Saccharomyces cerevisiae S288C: one gene and its partners. Changing the gene in region 3 together with the main gene of any one other region gives a genetic interaction. Each region holds a gene or a part of one and is shown on either strand. Other genes may lie near its edges. The genes, in order: OPI3, NBP2, CKB1 and RPN4.

The links.
Region 1: mutations in CKB1 (region 3) and OPI3 together harm fitness more than expected from each alone (negative genetic interaction), as found in Saccharomyces cerevisiae (5 studies listed by BioGRID).
Region 2: mutations in CKB1 (region 3) and NBP2 together harm fitness more than expected from each alone (negative genetic interaction), as found in Saccharomyces cerevisiae (5 studies listed by BioGRID).
Region 4: mutations in CKB1 (region 3) and RPN4 together harm fitness more than expected from each alone (negative genetic interaction), as found in Saccharomyces cerevisiae (5 studies listed by BioGRID, with this or other methods).

What each region holds. Positions count from the first base shown.
Region 1 is NC_001142.9:566,895-574,834, forward strand, and holds OPI3 (bifunctional phosphatidyl-N-methylethanolamine N-methyltransferase/phosphatidyl-N-dimethylethanolamine N-methyltransferase), read right to left. Parts: upstream 6,042-7,940; coding exon 5,421-6,041; downstream 1-5,420. Other genes in the region: YAE1 (Yae1p), read right to left, coding at 125-550; RFC2 (replication factor C subunit 2), read left to right, coding at 749-1,810; nucleoside triphosphate pyrophosphohydrolase HAM1, read right to left, coding at 1,912-2,505; LIA1 (deoxyhypusine monooxygenase), read right to left, coding at 2,727-3,704; GTPase NPA3, read right to left, coding at 4,073-5,230; Ran GTPase-binding protein MOG1, read left to right, coding at 6,201-6,857; HOC1 (alpha-1,6-mannosyltransferase), read left to right, coding at 7,087-7,940. UniProt on the Saccharomyces cerevisiae protein: Catalyzes the second two steps of the methylation pathway of phosphatidylcholine biosynthesis, the SAM-dependent methylation of phosphatidylmonomethylethanolamine (PMME) to phosphatidyldimethylethanolamine (PDME) and of PDME to phosphatidylcholine (PC).
Region 2 is NC_001136.10:778,996-782,954, reverse strand, and holds NBP2 (adaptor protein NBP2), read left to right. Parts: upstream 1-1,854; coding exon 1,855-2,565; downstream 2,566-3,959. Other genes in the region: SEC1 (Sec1p), read left to right, coding at 1-914; U2-type spliceosomal complex subunit CWC15, read right to left, coding at 1,005-1,532; ACL4 (Acl4p), read right to left, coding at 2,749-3,912. UniProt on the Saccharomyces cerevisiae protein: Negatively regulates the high-osmolarity glycerol (HOG) pathway through its negative regulation of the HOG1 kinase activity. Mediates the binding between the PTC1 phosphatase and the PBS2 MAP/ERK kinase (MEK).
Region 3 is NC_001139.9:454,928-459,492, reverse strand, and holds CKB1 (casein kinase 2 regulatory subunit CKB1), read right to left. Parts: upstream 1,338-4,565; coding exon 501-1,337; downstream 1-500. Other genes in the region: J-type chaperone JAC1, read left to right, coding at 1-383; GET complex subunit GET1, read left to right, coding at 1,623-2,330; protein kinase ALK1, read right to left, coding at 2,426-4,565. UniProt on the Saccharomyces cerevisiae protein: Regulatory subunit of casein kinase II/CK2.
Region 4 is NC_001136.10:413,724-418,641, forward strand, and holds RPN4 (stress-regulated transcription factor RPN4), read right to left. Parts: upstream 2,986-4,918; coding exon 1,390-2,985; downstream 1-1,389. Other genes in the region: phosphoglycerate mutase family protein GPM2, read left to right, coding at 230-1,165; oxysterol-binding protein related protein OSH2, read right to left, coding at 3,940-4,918. UniProt on the Saccharomyces cerevisiae protein: Acts as a transcriptional activator of a number of genes encoding proteasomal subunits. Binds to a PACE (proteasome-associated control element) DNA sequence 5'-GGTGGCAAA-3'.

The DNA of each region.
Region 1 (7,940 bases), on a different chromosome or scaffold from region 3:
ACGTGTGCAAGTATTGTGTATTATTATTATTATTATCATTATTTTTGTAATATCTCGTCATTATGTGAAATGAAGGATGATATAAGGTACATAAATTGTGAAATCAACTCCATTTAAAACAACTTTATTGGATAGATGGCACATGGTACTTTTCACAATAGGTATTGGCAATATCAGTCCATTTTGTTATGAGCGGATGTTTTTCTTGCAAGTCAAAGTTTGGATCAAATATGGACTTACTAAGTACTTTGTTAATGCGTAATTCTTTTTGAGCATCAATATATGCCTTACTGAGGTCCTCATCTTCATCACCAAAACGTGTTCGTAGGCCAAGTAAAATCCCCATAATTATGCCAACTTGTTTCCCTAATTTAGCGCCCGTTGGGAAACCATCATTGAAACCCTCTTGCAGCTTTTCTTCTTTAGAACTCACTATTCCGTCCAAGTACCCCCTCTTGCTATGATTCTCTCTTAACTTCACTAAATCTGGAGATCGTTCAGTTTCGACATCACTGTCTGATGCCCATACATCGTCCCAAGTATTCGACATCTCTATATACTATTGTAACACTGTTCCTTTTTTGTTCTCTTCTATCAAAAACCTTTCTCATCGTTATTTTTCACTCTTTTACTTCGCGTATTTCAAAGCAATCAGGAAGTAACTCAAGCGAACAAGTCAATGCTATAAGAGAAGTAAAATAGAGAGACAGCGAGAAATACTGGGGGAAAGTATTGGCAATCACTTGAGATGTTTGAAGGGTTTGGTCCAAATAAAAAGCGTAAGATATCAAAGTTAGCCGCAGAGCAATCATTGGCACAACAACCCTGGGTTGAGAAATACAGGCCCAAAAACCTAGATGAAGTGACAGCTCAAGATCATGCCGTTACTGTTTTGAAGAAAACCTTAAAGTCAGCTAATCTACCACATATGTTGTTTTATGGTCCCCCAGGAACTGGTAAAACGTCTACCATTTTAGCGCTAACAAAAGAATTATATGGACCCGACTTGATGAAATCAAGAATATTGGAGTTGAACGCTTCTGACGAACGTGGTATCTCTATTGTAAGAGAAAAGGTAAAAAATTTTGCAAGATTGACTGTATCCAAGCCTAGCAAACATGACTTGGAGAACTATCCGTGCCCACCGTATAAGATCATTATTCTCGATGAGGCCGATTCAATGACTGCCGATGCACAGAGTGCATTACGTAGAACAATGGAAACCTATTCAGGAGTAACAAGATTCTGTTTGATTTGTAATTATGTGACAAGAATTATTGACCCGCTAGCGTCCCGTTGTTCCAAATTTAGATTCAAAGCCCTAGACGCAAGTAATGCCATTGACCGTTTGAGGTTTATCAGCGAACAAGAAAATGTTAAATGTGATGATGGAGTTTTGGAAAGGATCTTGGACATTTCGGCAGGTGACTTGAGAAGAGGCATTACATTATTACAATCCGCTTCCAAGGGGGCGCAATACTTGGGTGATGGTAAAAACATAACTTCTACCCAAGTGGAAGAATTAGCTGGTGTGGTACCTCATGACATTCTAATAGAAATTGTTGAAAAAGTCAAAAGTGGTGATTTTGATGAGATTAAGAAATACGTCAATACGTTTATGAAAAGCGGTTGGTCTGCTGCGTCAGTAGTTAACCAACTACATGAATATTACATCACCAACGATAACTTTGATACGAACTTCAAAAATCAAATATCTTGGTTGCTGTTTACTACGGATTCCAGATTAAACAACGGAACGAACGAGCACATCCAATTATTAAACTTATTGGTTAAAATATCCCAACTCTAATATACAGGCATCTTTATATAATTGAATATAGAGGCGACATAAAGTAAGAATAAAAAAAAAAAAATCTATCCATAATTCCTCTTATCTTCTCAGCACATCACCTAAAAGTCATTTTGATACAAGTACTCTTTAAACTGAGCGAAGGCTTTACCACGATGAGAAATAGCATTCTTTGCGTCTTTGCTCATCTCTGCGTAAGTCAGTCCATGACTATCAAAAGGTTCAAAAATTGAATCCCAGCCGAATGTAGTGGGTCCCCGGCTTGGAACGATCTTGCCTCTTGTAATACCTTGAAAGAAGTGATATTCACCCCGAGAATCAGCAAAACAAATGGTGGTAACTGCTTCAGCGTTTTTATTTTCAAAGGGTTCCAACATTTTCACAATTTTTTCCAATCCCATGCTCTTTAAAAACCATTTTATATAAGCACCTGGTAGACCGTTAAATTCGTCAAATCTCAACGCAGTGTCTTCCACAAACACTGGCTTACCCTTACCCAAGGCCGCAACAGCTTGCTTTCCCTTAGCTAACGCAATGGCATTCAGATCCGTGTCCTGCAATTCTTCCAGGTCTAAGGCCTCATTGATTAAGTGGATGGTTTTGTTGTTGTTGTCGACCTCTTGAGTCAAAATCGACTGCACTTCCTTTAACTTGTTGGCATTGCCAGTGACAAATACAATTTCGTTGTTGCTCATTCTGCTATCGTTCGTTTTTAGATATCTCTATGTGAGTGTTTCCTATGCTTTGAAGACCAGTGTTGAAAGCTGAAGCTCGAGAGAACGGTTTCGAAAATAAATAATTTTTTTGCTATTTGATACATTTGTATATATAACGGAAATGGCGGGTTTTGAAAAGTATAAAATACAAGATTATACAATGATTATTGTTACTATCATTATTGATGATGCTGATTCTTCTAATTAGCAGTTGGAGCATATTCTAGTTCGTTGCTGTTTTCGTAATCATACATATCTAGCGCAACGATACAAGATTCTCTGACGACATCGACTTCATCGTTGAGGTAAGATTTCAAGACGTCGACAACTTCTGGAGAAGCAATGGCACCCAAGGCTTCAGCAGCTTCATGCCTAACCATTGGAGCTTCTTCCTTTCTGCCCAAAACTTCAATCAAACTTGGGACAGCAGCCGGACTACCTATTTGACCGAAGACGTAGGCGATTTCATGCTTGAAAAGGGAGGATTCTGCACTGAAACCAGTGGCCAAGGCCAGGATTGCTTCATCAGTACCGATATCTCTCAGTCTGAACATGGCTCTGTATCTTTGGAACAAAGGTTGCTTAGGATCATTCAATAAGGCCTGTAGTTCTGGGATGGTAGCATCCTTTTCTAATGGTAGAGGTGGGGCTGGGTCAATACTCGAGTATAGGGATTGTTGCAAGTTTTCCTTATCCTTGGCACCTCCATGGGTCCAGTTGATTCTGTTAATGGCCAGTTCACAGGTTTCTCTCACAGCAACGTGTGGATCCTCCTTAGCAGCCTTATTTAGGTCATCCAACGAATCCTTGTCACCTAGGGCACCCAAAGCCTCAGCGGCTTCGTGTCTCACCATTGGTTCTTGATTTTGATCTAACATAACGTGTCTTAAAGTTGGAGCAGCGTCCAAGTTCTTGGTTTGACCCAACACGTAGGCCACTTCGTGCTTCAACAACTCAGACTTGTCATTGACGAAGGATTCGGCAATGTATTCGATGGCCTTTTTGGCTTCCTCTGGCTTAGTGGCAAATTCTTCAGCAACAGTCTTTAAGTTGAACAGAGCTCTAAATCTGTTGGCCAAAACTGTTTTGCCGGACTTGTTGACTAAGATGTCCCTTAGTTGCTCTAGAGTGCATTCATCGACGTTTTCTTGGAAATGTTTTTCAAAGTTAGTAGACATGTTTTTTTTTTTCTTTCTTGCGTGGTATGTTAGAAGGACTACAGTTTATCCTAACCTAAACCTAGAGCTACCGTCAAATATACACGTGTATTCACTGGATTTGCCTTATGTAATTTATATGATAAAAACTTTTCAGCTCATCGAGAAAAATTTTCTTTCCTCCCACGCAGGATAGAGAAAAAAAAAAAATTTTTTTTTTTTCTTGTTTCTCACTGCATTCTACAGGGATTTCTGTGGAAGGATTACCTCTATTGTTCAAAAGATAATAAACGTGGGAGTTTATCTGACGTTCGTCTTTGCAATTCCATTGTCTTTTTTTTTCTCTGCGGGTCGAATGATCGCCGAACCAAAGGACTATACGTAGTTATTTAGTTTCTAATATACTTCGCGATATTTTCTGCAGTCTCGCTACTGGCCGTTTTCCCTACTTGTTGCATAGCTTCCTGATATCTCCTTTGTAGGTCTGGAGCAGAGTTCTCGTTGACCTCACCTTTTGTTCTTTCTTCGCCTGGGAACGTGTATTCTCTCTCAACGCCTTCGTCCTCATCCCTATCCACAAGACCATCATTGGCATCCTCTTCGAGGTCGCTAATGGCATCTATGCTGTCGTTGTCGCTGGCTGCAGCGCTGCTCTTCTCGTTTAACCCTAGATCCTTCATCAGGCCATTCAATGATTTTTGCTTTCTCATCTCTTCCTTTTTCTTTTTTAGGTTCAATGCTTTTTCACGTTCTTGCTTATAGTATTGGTCGTATTCATCAACTTTCTTGTCTACGCATTGCATAAATTCGTCGAATCCGTCTCCGGTAAAACTGGAAACGCCCACGACGTCTAGCTGGGAATAGAATTCTTCAAGCATCAGTGACATAGAATTGACCAATGAGCTCATGTACCCGGAGCCCAGCCCATTGTCACCATTCAAGTCTTGATCTTCCTTGATTGCTGCTTGGAAACTCTCAAAATCCGTCATCCATTCCTTAGCAAAATCTGCCTTGCACACGTCGGTCTTGTTGAAAACGACAATCATGGGAAGTTTGGTCTTATACAGAATGGAGCAGGCGTACAGCATGTTACTCATGAATGTAGTTGGGGATGAGTTTCTAGGCGTATCCACGATATATGCAATCACTGTGGGAAAGCTGGAGGCAAAAGATTCCGTGATAATGGCACCCGACGCACTCCACACAAAACATTCGATTTGGCCTGGAGTGTCGATGATGCAGTTTTGGAACTTGTCCTTCTTCTGTTCCACCAACCTAATAACTTGATCAATCTTGGTGCTGAACAAATTCAAACTGGTGACAATGGCACCGTTCGGACCTAGCTGGTAATTCTCCATCACTTTCTTGTATTTGATTGAGTCTCTGATATCGATGTTTGCACCATAGGGGACTCTCAATACTGCAGGATCAAGATTGATTACGTATGGTGGCGTTTTCTCTGCCCGCAAGTGGGAGTTTAACCTTTGCATGAAAGTTGTTTTACCGGATCCGGCCATACCAATACATATGATTGTGCTGAGACTCATTCTTGCTGTGTCGTTATTGCGTTTTGTAGTTGTTTGTGTGCGCTAGATGCTCTCATTGTATTCCTTGTTAAATAGAGCATCGCATTAAAATTTTTTTTTTTCACTTTCGCGAAGAAATTGCTTATGGAGCTATATAGAAACGGTAATAGCATAGGCTTCTAACATTATAGAATATATAGAAATAGAGCACTTACATATTCTTTTTGGCCTTATCACGGTTAGCGTAGATCATGGCAGTAAAAGGTTCTTCCCAACGAAGAGCGATCTTGTACATGAAGTAAACTACGGCAGAAACAACCAGCCCCGCAGGCTTTCCTTTGTAAAGGGCTATGCCCAAGAAGGACAAAGTGGAACCCTGGTACATGGGGTTGTTGGAAACGTTGAAGGGGAAGCCGGTGACTCTCTCATCCATCAGGATGCCGAAATAGTCACCCAAGTACGTCCCTGTGATACCCAGCTTGTACATGGAACTCAAAACAAGCACTTGCCCCAAACCAAAGAGAGCCACACCCAGCTTGGTCCAGTTCTCGCCCGTGATCAGAGAACACGTAGGCTGTTCACGCAATGCAGACTCGTACACCATGTCTCTGACGATACCTAGCGAAAATATGGTCGCCGCCAACATGTAACAGCCCTTTCTGGCCCCACCACACATCTTGGTGAGAGAATGCTTGTGGTATTCCATTCTTGCAACGATGTTCCAAAAGATAGGATTGAACATCGTGCACACAATGGCCAGCTGGAACTTGGAAGACTGTAAATCGACACTGTGGATGAGTTGCTGGATGATCTCTTGGACTGACTCCTTCATCGCTTGACTTGCGCTATTCTTGTTGTCTTCAATTGCTGTTTATGGCTCTGTCCAAGAACGTTCATGTTCTTCATATGTGTTCTCTTATAAAGACCCCTTATCCAGTGGTCATTGCAGTGGCAGTGGACAGAAACCAACGATGCATGTGTGGGTTTGCATATGAAGATTGAAAAGGCTTCTCATATTTCACAACCGGTGCAACTTTCCACATGCACTCTCATTGACACCTACCCTGGTCATCAAGGAAGCATGAACAACAAGGAAGTCGAATTATACGGCGGCGCCATCACTACTGTCGTCCCACCTGGGTTTATAGACGCTTCTACTCTAAGAGAAGTCCCCGATACACAGGAGGTGTACGTCAATTCCCGTCGCGATGAAGAAGAATTCGAAGATGGACTAGCCACCAATGAAAGCATTATCGTGGATCTCTTGGAGACGGTCGACAAGAGCGATCTGAAGGAGGCTTGGCAGTTCCACGTGGAAGACCTGACGGAGTTGAACGGGACCACCAAATGGGAAGCTTTACAAGAAGACACTGTTCAGCAAGGAACCAAGTTCACCGGACTCGTTATGGAAGTAGCAAATAAGTGGGGAAAACCAGATCTGGCACAGACCGTTGTCATCGGCGTAGCGTTGATCAGATTAACCCAGTTTGACACGGATGTGGTCATCTCCATTAATGTACCTTTGACAAAGGAGGAGGCGTCGCAAGCAAGCAACAAAGAGTTGCCTGCAAGATGTCATGCTGTTTACCAATTGTTGCAAGAAATGGTACGGAAGTTTCACGTTGTGGACACGTCGCTGTTTGCTTAATCTTTCAAATTTTAACCTTATGTTTATATTACCTTTTTATTTCTACTATATAGCGTATTACATGTTTTTTCCGATAAGTATAACGAAATTTCCCAGCAGCGAAGAAAGTGAAAAAATAACAGTGACCATAATGAACATTCCTCTCTTTCCATTTTGCACGTATTCTTGCAGAGAAGAGGCACTCTACTCGGAAGACAGCAGATAGATATATAGACTGTAGCGGTTAACGATGGCCAAAACAACAAAAAGAGCCTCCAGTTTCAGGAGGTTGATGATATTCGCCATAATAGCCCTCATCTCATTAGCATTTGGAGTTAGATACCTATTTCACAATTCTAATGCTACTGATTTACAAAAAATTCTGCAGAACTTGCCCAAAGAGATTTCCCAAAGCATTAATAGTGCCAACAATATTCAGAGTTCGGATTCTGATCTAGTTCAACATTTTGAGAGTTTGGCTCAGGAGATCAGACACCAACAGGAAGTTCAAGCAAAGCAATTTGATAAACAACGTAAGATCCTGGAAAAAAAAATCCAAGACTTGAAACAAACACCTCCGGAGGCCACCCTAAGAGAACGCATAGCTATGACTTTCCCCTACGATTCCCATGTCAAGTTCCCAGCATTTATTTGGCAAACTTGGTCCAATGATGAAGGTCCCGAGCGTGTTCAAGATATAAAGGGCATGTGGGAAAGCAAGAATCCGGGCTTTGCGCACGAAGTGTTGAACCATGACGTGATAAACGCACTAGTACACCACTACTTCTACTCCATACCGGAAATCCTAGAGACTTACGAAGCTCTGCCCTCCATCATCCTAAAGATAGATTTTTTCAAATACTTAATACTGTTAGTTCATGGAGGTGTTTATGCTGACATCGACACGTTCCCTGTTCAGCCAATTCCAAACTGGATTCCTGAAGAGTTGTCGCCATCCGACATTGGGTTGATAGTTGGAGTTGAGGAAGACGCTCAAAGAGCTGACTGGAGAACCAAGTATATCAGAAGACTTCAGTTTGGTACTTGGATTATACAAGCAAAACCTGGTCACCCTGTTTTGAGGGAAATCATTTCTCGAATTAT
Region 2 (3,959 bases), on a different chromosome or scaffold from region 3:
CAATGAAGGAACCGACAATCTTAGATAAATTGCGTTACATTATTGCGTATGCTCTTTTCAGAGGTGGAATTATCGAGTTAGACTTCATTAAATTATTGAACTTTATAGGAGTTACTCATGAACATGAAAATTTCCAGCAATATTTAAAAATATTCAGAAATTACGATTTAATTGATTTCAAATTGATCAAAGACAAACCGAAGGATAAACCATTTCAAAAGGAATGGTTTCATGATACTTTAGTGAATGATCCAAATATCTATCACACTTCAAGGTTCGTTCCCGCTGTAGGGAATATTCTTTCAAAGGTTATAGCGAATCCATTGTTATTGAGCGAACAATACTTCCCATATTTAAAGGACAAGCCAATTGAGTTATTGAATGAAGAAGAATTCCAAGCAGGCTTAGCGAATACCTCTGCTAACTCCTCCTCATCCTTAAGGAATCCCCGTCACAAGGCAGCTTGGACCACGAAAAGCTCTAATATAAAAAAAAACATACCTAGACAAAGATTCTTCTACTATGTTATTGGTGGTATATCAATTCCCGAAATTAAAGCTGCTTATGATCAATCAAACTTGAAGAACAGAGATATCTTTATTGGCAGCGACGAGATATTAACACCAACAAAATTCTTAGATGAAGTGGAACGTTTACAAAATCCTAGAGAATTTTTCAAATTCAAGGAAGATCAGCGCCAGCAAGTAAACCCGCCTGATTTCCTTCTAAGGGAAATGAAACCGGTGGCACAACCAGTCTCTCATGTTCATTTAAAAAGCCAAGACAATAGTCCTAAGTCTGGTACTTCTAGTCCCAAAGCAGCAGGTTCTCTCAAGTCAGAACCACCCGAAAAAGAGAAGAAACGTAGCAAATTCTCGAGGTTCTTGAAAAGAAAATCTCACCATGATAAATGATCCCTTAAAGAAGACAGTGATAAAAAAAATCACTTGCTCTTGTCAAAAAAAAAAGATATAAACGTACTATTTATGTATCGTTCCTATGTACTATCTAACATGCTTATGGAGAAATTCTTGATGATATTCAGATTTTGTCATATCGTTAATGTATCCGGACGCTGATTTTTTTGTTGCATGTTCCTTAATATTTGTCTCTTTGGTTACTTTATGGCGTCCAAACGCCGTGCCCTTTCTCCACGATCGCCTAGACGAATTTCCTCCCTTTAATTGTTCATTTCCTTCAAGCTCTGCTTTATCTTCCACTTTATTTTTTTGAGTAACCAGCAGCTCTTGCAACGAGTCTTTTTGGTCTTTCTCACTGCGGGTTTCTTGGAGGTTCCCACTCCCCACAACATCCTGTTTCTCTTCGTTCATTACTGCCTCCTCTAAAGATTTATCGTTGCTCCTATCTTCTTGCGCACAGTTTGCTCTAAGATTTTCCTCCTCTTTAAATTTCCTGTATTTTAATGTTGTATGTCCTGGTAGTAATCTGGCATGCTCGATGCCTGTTGGTGTATAAGCGGCCGCTTTTGCACCGCTTCTTGCTTCTAACTGTGGTCTGTGTGATGTGGTCATGGTCTTGTAGCCCTTTCAAATGCCAGCCTCTGAGCAAGTTCTTTATGGAGCCTTTTGGAGCTTTGTCATTCCTATTTCCTTTTCGTGAAGAGATAGACTATTATTTTTAGTCACACCAACTTATTTTTCCAGTTGCGAGAAATGGAGAATTCACTTCAGAAGTAGCTTGTAATGGACAATGCAACACAGTGCACAGTAACAACACGCTCAATCACACATAATAACAGCTACCAATAAAACGTGATAGATACTAACAAATTTTAAGTATTTTTCTCAACTTTACCTTACTTTAACTTCCACTGACATATTTATTGAATCTACGATGGCAACGATGGAAACGACCACACAAAAAGATACCAATATTTTGAAATCTGGTCTCAAAAAAACTATAGGTGTTCTCAATGAGGCAGTATTACAGAACGGGAGAGAGGTGGAGGCAGTGCAGGCAGGAAATAGTGACACAATGGAAGATACAGAAACAACCACAATAGGTTATATATCAATCAAAGATTATGCGTACGCAGATTCGAATCCTCTCCATTATGGTTATTTTGATGGAGACAATGAGGAGGATGAAATGGTTTCAGATTCTTCAAATGGAGAAGACACATACAATAAAAGACAAAGTATAACACTACCAGACGACTACATAGTTAACCAACGTGCTGTTGCCCTCTACGATTTCGAACCCGAAAATGATAATGAATTGAGATTGGCTGAGGGTGACATCGTATTTATCAGTTACAAGCATGGGCAAGGTTGGCTAGTAGCAGAAAATGAGTCAGGATCAAAAACAGGGTTGGTACCGGAGGAGTTTGTCTCTTATATACAGCCGGAAGATGGTGAGAACGAGGTGGAGAATAAGGCTCGACCTTTCTATTTGACACATTTGATTACACAGAGCGTTAGTCCTAAAAACAATATTGATAACACTAACGAAGATGAATACGACGACAACGATGAATGGGAAGATATTGATGATGTTGCGGAGGTCGAAGCAGATATGAAAACAAAATTAGATATATCGGATTGAATACAAATTCCAATTGGTTATGACAGTAAAATACTCACTAAAAACAGATAAAGAGGTCACCACCCTGGCGGTATGCCTGGCCGAATCTTCTTCCATCTGTTCTATGTCATAATTTCCGTTTCTTACGGATATATACATATATATCAGTGTATGTACTTATGCATATGTTAAATTAGAAGACTATTAGTCAGAATATTCTTCCTCTATGTCCAACTCTTCCAAGTCTTCATTCTCATTCACTAAATCACCCTTCTTGATTTGTGTTAACTCACTTGGATCTAGAGGACCACCAATTTCTTGGAGTAAAGCATTAGCACCGCCCAATAATTCTTGCACAATTTCATCTTTGCTGTCAGCATTGACACCTGCTTGCAATGCAAAACTTAGCGCTAATCTTGAGTCATAGATTAACTGGGAGATTGGTTCGTGGGATAAATCCAAAGGAACTTCTTGAATGAGTTGGTTAAACTCGTATATATTTTCCGGACGCAGGCTTACTTCGGGATTGTTCAACTTGAAAATTTCTAATTTACTCATTAAATAATAAGTAAAACCCTCTAGATAATAACCCTCTATGTTATCCTCATCTATATCTCTTACTGCGGCAATAACTTTCAATGCGACTTCGTAAGCTCCCACTTCGAGGCACATCTTTGTTAAAGATAAAAGAGGTTGTAAAAGATCTACATACTCTGACTGTAAACCAGCTTTCTGAGTTGTGTCACCATTTTCATTTATACCGCTACCAATTTCTTGTTTTTTCAACTCAAAGAAATTCCAGGCTTGTGAGAATGCTTCATAAGCTTCTCCAAATTTTTGTTGCGAGATTTTGATAGAACCCAGGGTAGACCATGTTTCAGGAGATTTTCCCTCTGTGAGTTCCATCGCCTTTTGTATTAACTCCTCACACTGCTCTTCTGCATTTGGCTCCATACATAAATCCGTCATCCAAATTTCAATCACAGAAAGCAGTCCACCTACAATCTTTTCAACCTGAACGTTGGTTAACATTTCACCTCCAGTATTAGAGATGTTCATTATTCCGCGAGTTATTATCGATACACCATCCTGTCCACCCATGATTTGACCCATGGTAAAAAATTTGTCCGGTCCGCCAACTTGTCCCTCAGGATCTAATTCGCAAGCACGCGCTAAAATTGGGTAGGCTTTCTCTACCTGTCCATTATCCAGGTATGCATCGGCAAACACTTCATTCAGTATTACATTGTTTGCGTTTTCTTTTTTCAGTGAACTTTTGAACGGCTTCAATATTTTGAGCGCCTTTTTGGCATTATTTTCAGCCAGGGCTTCTTTGGCTTGCCTAATTGTGGCTTCAAGTTCACTCATATTCCTTTTTTAATCCTCAGCCTGAAGATGCTTTTAGGTATAAGTTC
Region 3 (4,565 bases):
AGTCATCAACTCTTAATCAAGCTTACCATACTCTCAAAGATCCCCTTAGAAGGTCACAATATATGCTAAAACTCTTGCGCAATATCGATTTGACGCAAGAACAGACCTCAAATGAAGTAACTACCAGTGATCCACAGTTACTATTGAAAGTTCTAGACATCCATGATGAATTATCCCAGATGGACGACGAAGCTGGTGTGAAGCTGCTTGAAAAGCAAAACAAGGAAAGAATTCAAGATATTGAAGCCCAGTTGGGACAATGCTACAATGACAAGGATTACGCCGCCGCAGTGAAGTTGACCGTGGAGCTAAAGTACTGGTACAACTTGGCCAAGGCATTCAAAGACTGGGCTCCAGGAAAACAATTGGAAATGAATCACTAAAGTACTCCAAAGTGGTAATAGTAATAATAATAATAGTGGTGATATAAAAACTGAAACAATGTAAATAGGTAAAGTACATATGTATATGGTAGGGCAAAGAGGAAAATAAATCAAGGGTTAAACCGCCGGTGTCTCGAACTCGCATTTGGCAAATTCTTCCCAGTCCTCCTCCGTGGATGGATATTGTCTCAACCACTTCATTCTAGGACCAGATACTGCCTCATCATTTATCCTGAACCCAAAAACTTTCAACTCGTAGGACTCTTTACTTTTCCTTTCCACATACTCTTCCAATTCTTTGAAATGTTTCAAGAACACACCAGGGAAGCTTGTCCCCCAAAATGCACCTTCTAAGCACAGGAATCTAGATGATTGGGGAAGATACAAGTCCTGACAACTGGGACAGTACAACCTTACGGTGTGTTTCCCAACTGTATCGCTCAACCCACAAGGCAGCAACTGCATGCCATTACAATAGTAACGGGGGCACGTTCCAAATTCCTTGTGGTCGAATTTTTCAGCCATTGCTTGCAGGCCTGGCTTGGTCAGAATAAATCTTGCATGTATCAATCCGTATAACTGTTCTGCTGCGTGCTCGATAATACTCTTGTTCACCACTGGCGACTTGTTTCTCCTTTTGCCTTCATCATGACCGTCATTACTCTGCATCTCTTGATCCACTTCGTCTTCTTCCACCACGTCGTCTTCGTCCTCTTCTTCATCACTCATAGCCTCCAAATCCAATATCAAATCCAGAGCTTTCCGGTAGTGGGGTACCTCTTGGGATAACGAGGTCATATTGAAATCATCCTCGATAAACTCTGTCGGGACTTGGCAGAAGTACTCGTGACCAAATCTGGAACAGAACGATGGAATCCACTCGTCATAAGCTCCACTATCCTCGTCGTCTGAGGACCCTGTACGTGAATAGTCTTCCACAAACTCTTGCGACATAGTTTTCTCTCTCTTTTAGCTAATGGTCGCTTCTAAATACCAATTCACCAATTTACAGATTCGGATTAACGTCACTATCGTGTTTTGCACGTACCAACTACCTCCTGTTTTTGTCATTAGACACTTACCAGTTGATGTTTTCACTTTTTCTTTCCTTCCCAAGAGTGAAAAAAAATCACAGAGTAGTGGTATATACAACAATACCTCGGGATAAAAAGACCAGATAAAAGAAAGCAGGACAGTTTGCAATCCTTGAACTACGTCTAGTTGATTGAAATAGGAGAAATGCATTGGGCAGCAGCGGTAGCGATATTCTTTATTGTGGTCACAAAGTTTCTACAGTATACAAACAAATACCACGAGAAATGGATCTCTAAATTTGCACCAGGAAATGAATTATCCAAAAAATACTTAGCCAAGGTCAAAGAACGTCACGAATTAAAAGAATTCAACAACTCTATCTCCGCGCAGGATAATTATGCCAAATGGACTAAGAACAATAGAAAATTGGACTCGTTAGATAAAGAAATAAATAACTTGAAGGACGAAATACAATCAGAAAATAAAGCCTTTCAGGCCCATCTTCACAAACTCAGGTTATTGGCATTGACGGTGCCATTTTTTGTGTTTAAGATTATGTACGGCAAGACACCAGTTTACAAGTTGAGTTCCTCGACTAGCACCTTGTTCCCTACGTTTGTAAGTGGTGTTTGGTCTCAAGGCTGGTTATATGTTCTCTTGCATCCTCTAAGGACTATTTCTCAGAAATGGCATATAATGGAGGGCAAATTTGGTGCTTCCAAGTTTGATGATATGGCTTTACAGAGTGTCTCTTTGGGAATCTGGGTTTGGGCATTGATGAATGTCATCAACGGCGTGGAATTTATCGTTAAGCAATTGTTTTTGACTCCCAAAATGGAAGCACCTGCATCTGTGGAGACTCAAGAGGAGAAAGCCTTGGATGCTGTCGACGATGCCATTATTTTAGATTAGTGTTATTACATTATGTACGTATATATAATATGTTTATGTATTGGAGTATACAATAGAAAGAAAATGAAATATAAATGTCAACATTCCTATTTGTTTTATTTATAAAGTTTTAGTAAATCTCCAGTATTCTTAATGTCCTCCGTCTCCAATCTTTTGAATAACTGCCCCCCTCTTTTATGAACTGCCAAGTTCATTTCCAAATGGTTTATCACCCTTGCCATTTTATCCCTGTTTGCATCATTCTTACCAAGCTTCCTGTCACCAAACTTTAGTAAAACGCGTGACAGGTAATATAACCAATACAAATTTGTCATGGGCTCAAAAGCTGACGCGTCCATGTTCAACAAGATCCGCATACTTTGATAGATTTCAAACTCAAATTGATACTGGTATTCGTTTATTTTACTCTTGTCTTTCCCATTTAGAAAAAAGAGTGGATGATCTAGCCGTAGATATAAAACATCATCTTGAGGAGTTTGCAATCTACTGCATTTAAAATCAATAATTGTTATATTCCCATTACCATCTATCAAAATATTATCCAAAGTAAGATTACGATGTTCAAATTTCAAATTTTTTTCCAACCCATGAATTATACCAGCACAAGACCAAAAAATCTTTAGAATCTGCTTCCAGTTTTTCAGTGAGATTAACGAAATTGGGGTACCGTGATCTTTGAATAGTAAGTACAAATACAACCCCCCATTTGCCTCTTTAACAACAAAACTTTTCAATAGTTGCGGTATGCCATCAAATTTTTGTTGCATGATTTTGAGTTTTTCCAGTTCCTGCAAAGATAAGAACTTTCTATCCCATGTAATGTCATCAATAGTACCGAGAGAAACTTTTTTACAGATTACTTCACCAATTTGCCAAACATTTGATGTTAATTGTATTGATGACAAATGGTTTACATCGTTGATTAAAGGCAATACATCTCCTTTTGCGGGGTTTAAAATTCTCTTTATATCACAATTTAGTAAAATCTGTCTTAGAAGTGTCTCATCATGATCATTTTTGTTCATCGGTAAAGATGATTTAGAATTTAATGAGAGTAATGAGGTCGAATATCTTAATTTGTTCTGAATTTTATCACGGGAAACTTGGTCCGGTACAGGTAACGATATTCGGTGACTCAACGTAGAATTTTTGGAACTGTAGCTACAAGAGTCATCATTGCTGCTATTAGTTGCTGTCGATGGTGCTATCATGGAGGACTTTCCTTTGTTTCTTTTGAATTTTTGTAAGGATGCATGTGAACTTTTGTGCTTCAAACTTGATTGCGAATTCCTTTTCTTCAACACGTTCAAAGATAGACTTGAGGAAGAAGCTTTGTTTTTCAAAGTAATTTCCATGGAAGATATTGTATCGCTGCTTTCAGAATACGTATTTGAACTGAAGATAGTCTTATGGAAATCTGAAAAGGATGTCTTATGTTTTACCATATTTCTTGGTTCAACGGGCGTCATGGAATCACGACGGTTTACTGCAGGAAAGGTTTTTAAAGAATGGTGGTCTGGTTGCAACAATGCAGGTGTCTGGTTCTTATTTCTCTTCCAGAATCTCCATTTAGACGAGCTGGAAGAAGAGACAGTGGAAGAAATCGACGATCTTCTCGAGGACAATGATGCATTATATAGTGGTTGTTGCTGTTGTGGTTGTGAAGTGGGCCTTTTAGAATGATTAACAAGCGGCTTCAATGGTGTCCTAAGTCTGTTTTCCGAACTAGTGGAAGCAATTGATGAATTTTTTTTGCCCATAGTTGGAGGCAGATTTTCCTTACCTTGCGGAATCCCGATCCCAGGTTGTGATATATCATCGTTTATGCCTATCTTGGTAAACAATTGTCTGAGGGAAAGACCAGTGGACGATCTTTTCAAAGAAGAAGAAGCAGAGATAGAGCTATTAGATGCTACCGTATCTAAGCTTGAATAACTCTGCAAGGATTTTCTTTTTTGTTGCAAAACGTTCCTCGATTCCCTGTCCTTATGAGATTCACTGGTAAAGCTTGAAGAAAGTACAGACCATCTTTTCTTAGATTTAGATGATGAAACAGCAGAATGATTGGATAATAGAGACCATCGTTTTTTGGAATTGGAAGTCGTTTTCCTTGATGTATTATTGCCGGTGGTAACATTTAAAGATGCATCAGACTCCCTCATCTTTAAGATAGCAGAGCTTTCCAGCTCGTCAGCTGTGTCAGCAGTCAAATCAGTGTCACAATCGTCATCATTA
Region 4 (4,918 bases), on a different chromosome or scaffold from region 3:
CATGTTGTTATCACCCCACGACGAAGATAATACGGAGCTCACCGTTTTCTTTTTTTTTCCCTTTGGCTGAAATTTCCCACCAGAACAAACGTGACAAAATTATCTTTGAATCCAAAGTAGCTTATATATATACGTAGAAGTGTTTCGAGACACACATCCAAATACGAGGTTGTTCAATTTAAACCCAAGAATACATAAAAAAAATATAGATATATTAACTTAGTAAACAATGACTGCAAGCACACCATCCAATGTCATGACATTGTTCTTGTTAAGGCATGGACAAAGTGAATTGAATCACGAGAATATATTCTGTGGTTGGATTGACGCTAAGCTAACCGAAAAAGGTAAAGAACAAGCTCGTCATTCTGCCGAGCTAATCGAACAATATTGTAAAGCTAATAATTTGAGATTACCCCAGATTGGTTACACCTCACGTTTAATTAGGACCCAACAGACCATAGAAACGATGTGTGAAGAATTTAAGTTAAAGCCACAACTGCAGGTTGTTTACGACTTTAATAAAATCAAACTTGGAGACGAATTTGGCAGTGATGACAAGGATAATATGAAAATCCCGATTCTTCAAACTTGGAGGCTAAATGAACGTCATTACGGTTCCTGGCAGGGCCAGAGGAAACCGAATGTTTTAAAAGAATATGGTAAGGATAAATATATGTTCATTAGGAGAGATTACGAGGGTAAGCCACCACCTGTAGATCTTGACCGTGAGATGATTCAACAAGAAAATGAGAAGGGCTCTTCTACTGGGTACGAATTCAAGGAGCCAAACAGACAAATAAAATATGAATTGGAATGCAGCAATCATGACATTGTATTACCGGATTCCGAATCTCTTCGTGAAGTGGTTTATAGATTGAATCCTTTTCTACAAAATGTCATATTAAAATTAGCCAATCAATATGATGAATCTTCATGCCTGATTGTGGGCCATGGAAGTTCAGTGAGATCGCTACTGAAAATTCTGGAGGGTATATCAGATGATGACATCAAGAATGTTGATATTCCAAATGGTATCCCCTTAGTCGTTGAATTAGATAAGAATAATGGTCTTAAGTTTATCAGAAAATTCTACCTAGATCCTGAATCTGCTAAGATCAATGCTGAGAAAGTCCGTAATGAGGGTTTCATAAAAAATCCTTAAGGGGGGTAAGTATATAATATAATTGTGTATTTTCCGAAGTATAATGAAAACCAATAGAAAACTTATTATAAGTCCAATGAGGTACTTTAAAAATGTGATATTTATAAGAACATTCCTGAATGCAGATATATGATATATATTGTAAATATATATAGATGTGTATATGTATTTCCATTTTGTGTGAGGTTTTCTTCTTTTATCTCCTATATAATTTGTAACCTTAATTAACCCATGACATAACCAATATTAGCCTTTGCAAATTTTGTAACTTCTTGACGTTGTTCTAACGACAAATCTTCATGCTTCGATTTTATATGCCTTGTTAAAGCATCCAGTCTCGAAAACGTCTTCTGATAGCCCTCAGATCCAAGAATTTTTATACACTCCGAGCAACGGAAGACAATCTTCCTTTTAGCGTGAATGGTATTTTGGTGTCTCGTTAAATCATAGGACCTTGAAAATTGGGCACCACACGGTTCATTTGTAATGAGATTCATTATCTGACACGTAAATATTTCGTTATTACCGTCAGAAGATGACGTATGGGCCGATGGTGATGCAGTCGAAGGTTTCGAATTCGAATTTGTAGATGAATGTGAAGATAAGTGCTTCTTAGTATAATTAATTAGCTTCCGCCTACTAGCATTTGAGCTTACTACAGCTGATGTAGGCTTCTTTATTCTTTCTAATGTGCCGTTTTCATTACTGTTACTAACGCAACTACGGTTACTGGATGATTTTGCTGGTTTCCTTTTACCGGTAGTAGCAGTAGACGGTACGTTTGCCGAGGTTGAGGGAGATGGAAATCTTTCAAAATCAATAGTGTTTTTATTGAGGACAAAACTTTGCTTTCTTCTGTTCTTCAAGAGAGAGATATCGTAGATATCGTCTTCATCAAGATCATTATCCTCATCCTCATCCTCTATCTTCTCATGTCCCCGTTCATCTAACAGATCTTCAGATACAACACTGGAAATGCTGTCCATGTTAGAGTCAACGTAACTGTACTCATTAAATAAATGACTAGAACTCTTGGCACGACCCGTTTTTTGATCTGAGCCAAACATTGAGATTGGTGTAACATCCAATGACAGTAAAGGCTCCTCTTGGTGTTGCTCTTGTTGCAAACAATTTTCTTCTATTTCATCCTCTTCATCATCACTGATATCGTCGTCATCAGAGTCAAATTCATTGTTAAAAATAGCTCTCGCATCCTCATTGTTTATTGCGGCGCTATTATCTTGAAGTGACCACTGCATTTTCGGATTATAATTATCCTCATAGAAAAGCACTTCTTCATCATTACCATATAGATTGTCACCGTTATCGAAAAAATCGTTGGAAATTTTAACATCATAATTGAACGTATTCCGTGTCGGTACATACGGGTCTGATACTTTCATTATATTCTTTAGATTGACGGTCTTCTGCAATGGGGTTTCGCTAGCACCCTTAATCTCGTTTGGTATGAGATGGACATTATTAATCTGTCTATCGTTGGCCGTTGCTTCACTAGTCGTAAAAGAGGTGGTGGTAGTTAAAGTAGGATCCGCGTATTTGTTGAATATCGGGAAATGGTAGGTTTGTTGTGGGGGTATCGAAGCTGCACTCGATTCATTCTGGTGTTGTAATGAATGATTCCACGTAAAAGTGTTGTTTTCCTTGTTCTTATTCACCAACTTATATGGAGTAATACTAGCATTTGGATGATAGTTTTGATAATGACTCGTAAACTGACTGTGACCTGGATTAGTATGGTACAACTCGTCTTCTAAAATATCCGTTAAGGTTCTTTTTAGGCTAAGTTCCGTAGAAGCCATGATTGCTTGAAAATTCTAGAAAACTTTTGAAAAGATACAAATTAGCTATTAGTACTATCTACTATTAGTTCAACTAAAAAGCGGAGTTCTTCCTTGAGGAGAAAAGGATGAACAAAATGGAACTGATCTACTCCTTAAATATTCCACGCCAAGAAGAAAAAAGAGTTTCGGGTTTATCTTTAATTTATATTAGAGATAAAACGTATCCTCCTCCTTGAACGATAAAAAATTATCCGTGTGGGTTAGGCTGCTCATCCCGGGCTTTCCCCAAATTGGGCTTCGAACTATTCTTTCCTTATATAGAATTGCTCTCCTCAACAAGTTTCGCCGAAACGGAACTTTCTAGAACCATCACTGTAAACGGCTATTAGTAATAGCGATCACGTGATTATCCGTGGAAAGGTTCGTACGGGCTGAGGCACCTTTCTTTGAGTTCCACGGAACTTGTTATTACAGGAACAGAAAGGTAGTAAAAAAAGAAGTAACGTCCTCTCAGTGCATATAGTTTGATCTCTATAACAATCCGTAGTTGGTTTTCTCAACAATTAATATTGAATACGTTAGTGATGATTGGTTTTCAACCTCTGCCGCTAATTTAGGCACAGTTCTATCGCAGCCGTAATGGAGGCATTATATAGCACTTTAGCGTCGTAACGAAGGGTTATGGTAACCGCCTAACGATTTTATTTACTCGCTTGTTGCTTGCTTTGTAATTGGTTATATGGATTTCAAAATAATATGGTCATCTGACCATGGTGACATAACCAAAGTGTTCGAAAAGATAACTAAATTGATACATCTAGGAAAACTGAAGGAAATCCCTATTGTTAAGTAAACATACTATATATGCCAAAAGAAACAAATGTGCGGTAGAATAAAATACAATTCAGTACAATAAAATACATTCAAAATACATACAAGTACCAGGAAAAAAGCTCGCATAAAAAAGGCGTGTTAAAAAATGTCACCACAATCTTTCAAATCATGATCTCTTCTTTTAACCCAATATTTGCCCGTATATCTCCAATATTTAGCTTTTGTGATGGGATGAGTATCCCTGACGAACCATTGTGGGTGATATTCAAGGTTATTTTCCTCCCTTTTTCTGCGTGCTGCTCTTTGCTTTTCTTCAACTCTGAATTTCTCATCACCAGCTTCGTCATAACGCCCATCTTCCATTGCTCTTTGATCTGGTCTCAAACGTGTATCTGTGGGGGGTAACCATGGCAATAGATGTGGTTGTGGAGCATTCAGCGTGATAGCAAAAGGTGTTAAATTGAATGGCTCCTCAGGACGGTCGTTTGCCTTCCATATTAAAAACTTCGTTCCGTCATCCGTAGGCCCATTCCCTGCTGATGCAGCGGTTCTAGTTTTCTCCAACGAGAGATCGCCATCTTTTACTACTTTCTTGGCAAAAATAGCTTCATTCCAGTGTCCTCCTAGGATCCACACCTTCTGTTTTTTCTTGTTGTAGACTTCGCCTGTGATTTCATATGCTCCTGATGACCTCCATCCCCTTGCTTTGAAATACAACTTGCAATGATCACCGGTTGTGTGATTGACAACGTTCACTTCACCGTGGTTATCAACTTGTGGATTACCAATGAGAATACCTATAACAGTATTGTTGGGCTTCTTCCAAGTATACAGTTCCTCTTTTTCATTGTCATTTGGACGCAACTTAATGTGCCATAATCCTAAGTGCTTAACATTGAAAGATCTGCCATTGAATTTAGTATCAACAAATGATTCACCCCAAAAGTCCCATCTTGGTGATTCAGTCCATGTTGCAGATATAGGAGGGTGATGTGAAACCTGCTCGGTGAAAAATCTGTACTGTTTATCTGGTCGAGAATACTCAAATGTTTCACCCAACAATGGGTTGAAGGGTTTCGCAACTCTTTTTGTAGTAGATGCGTATGAAGATGCGGTA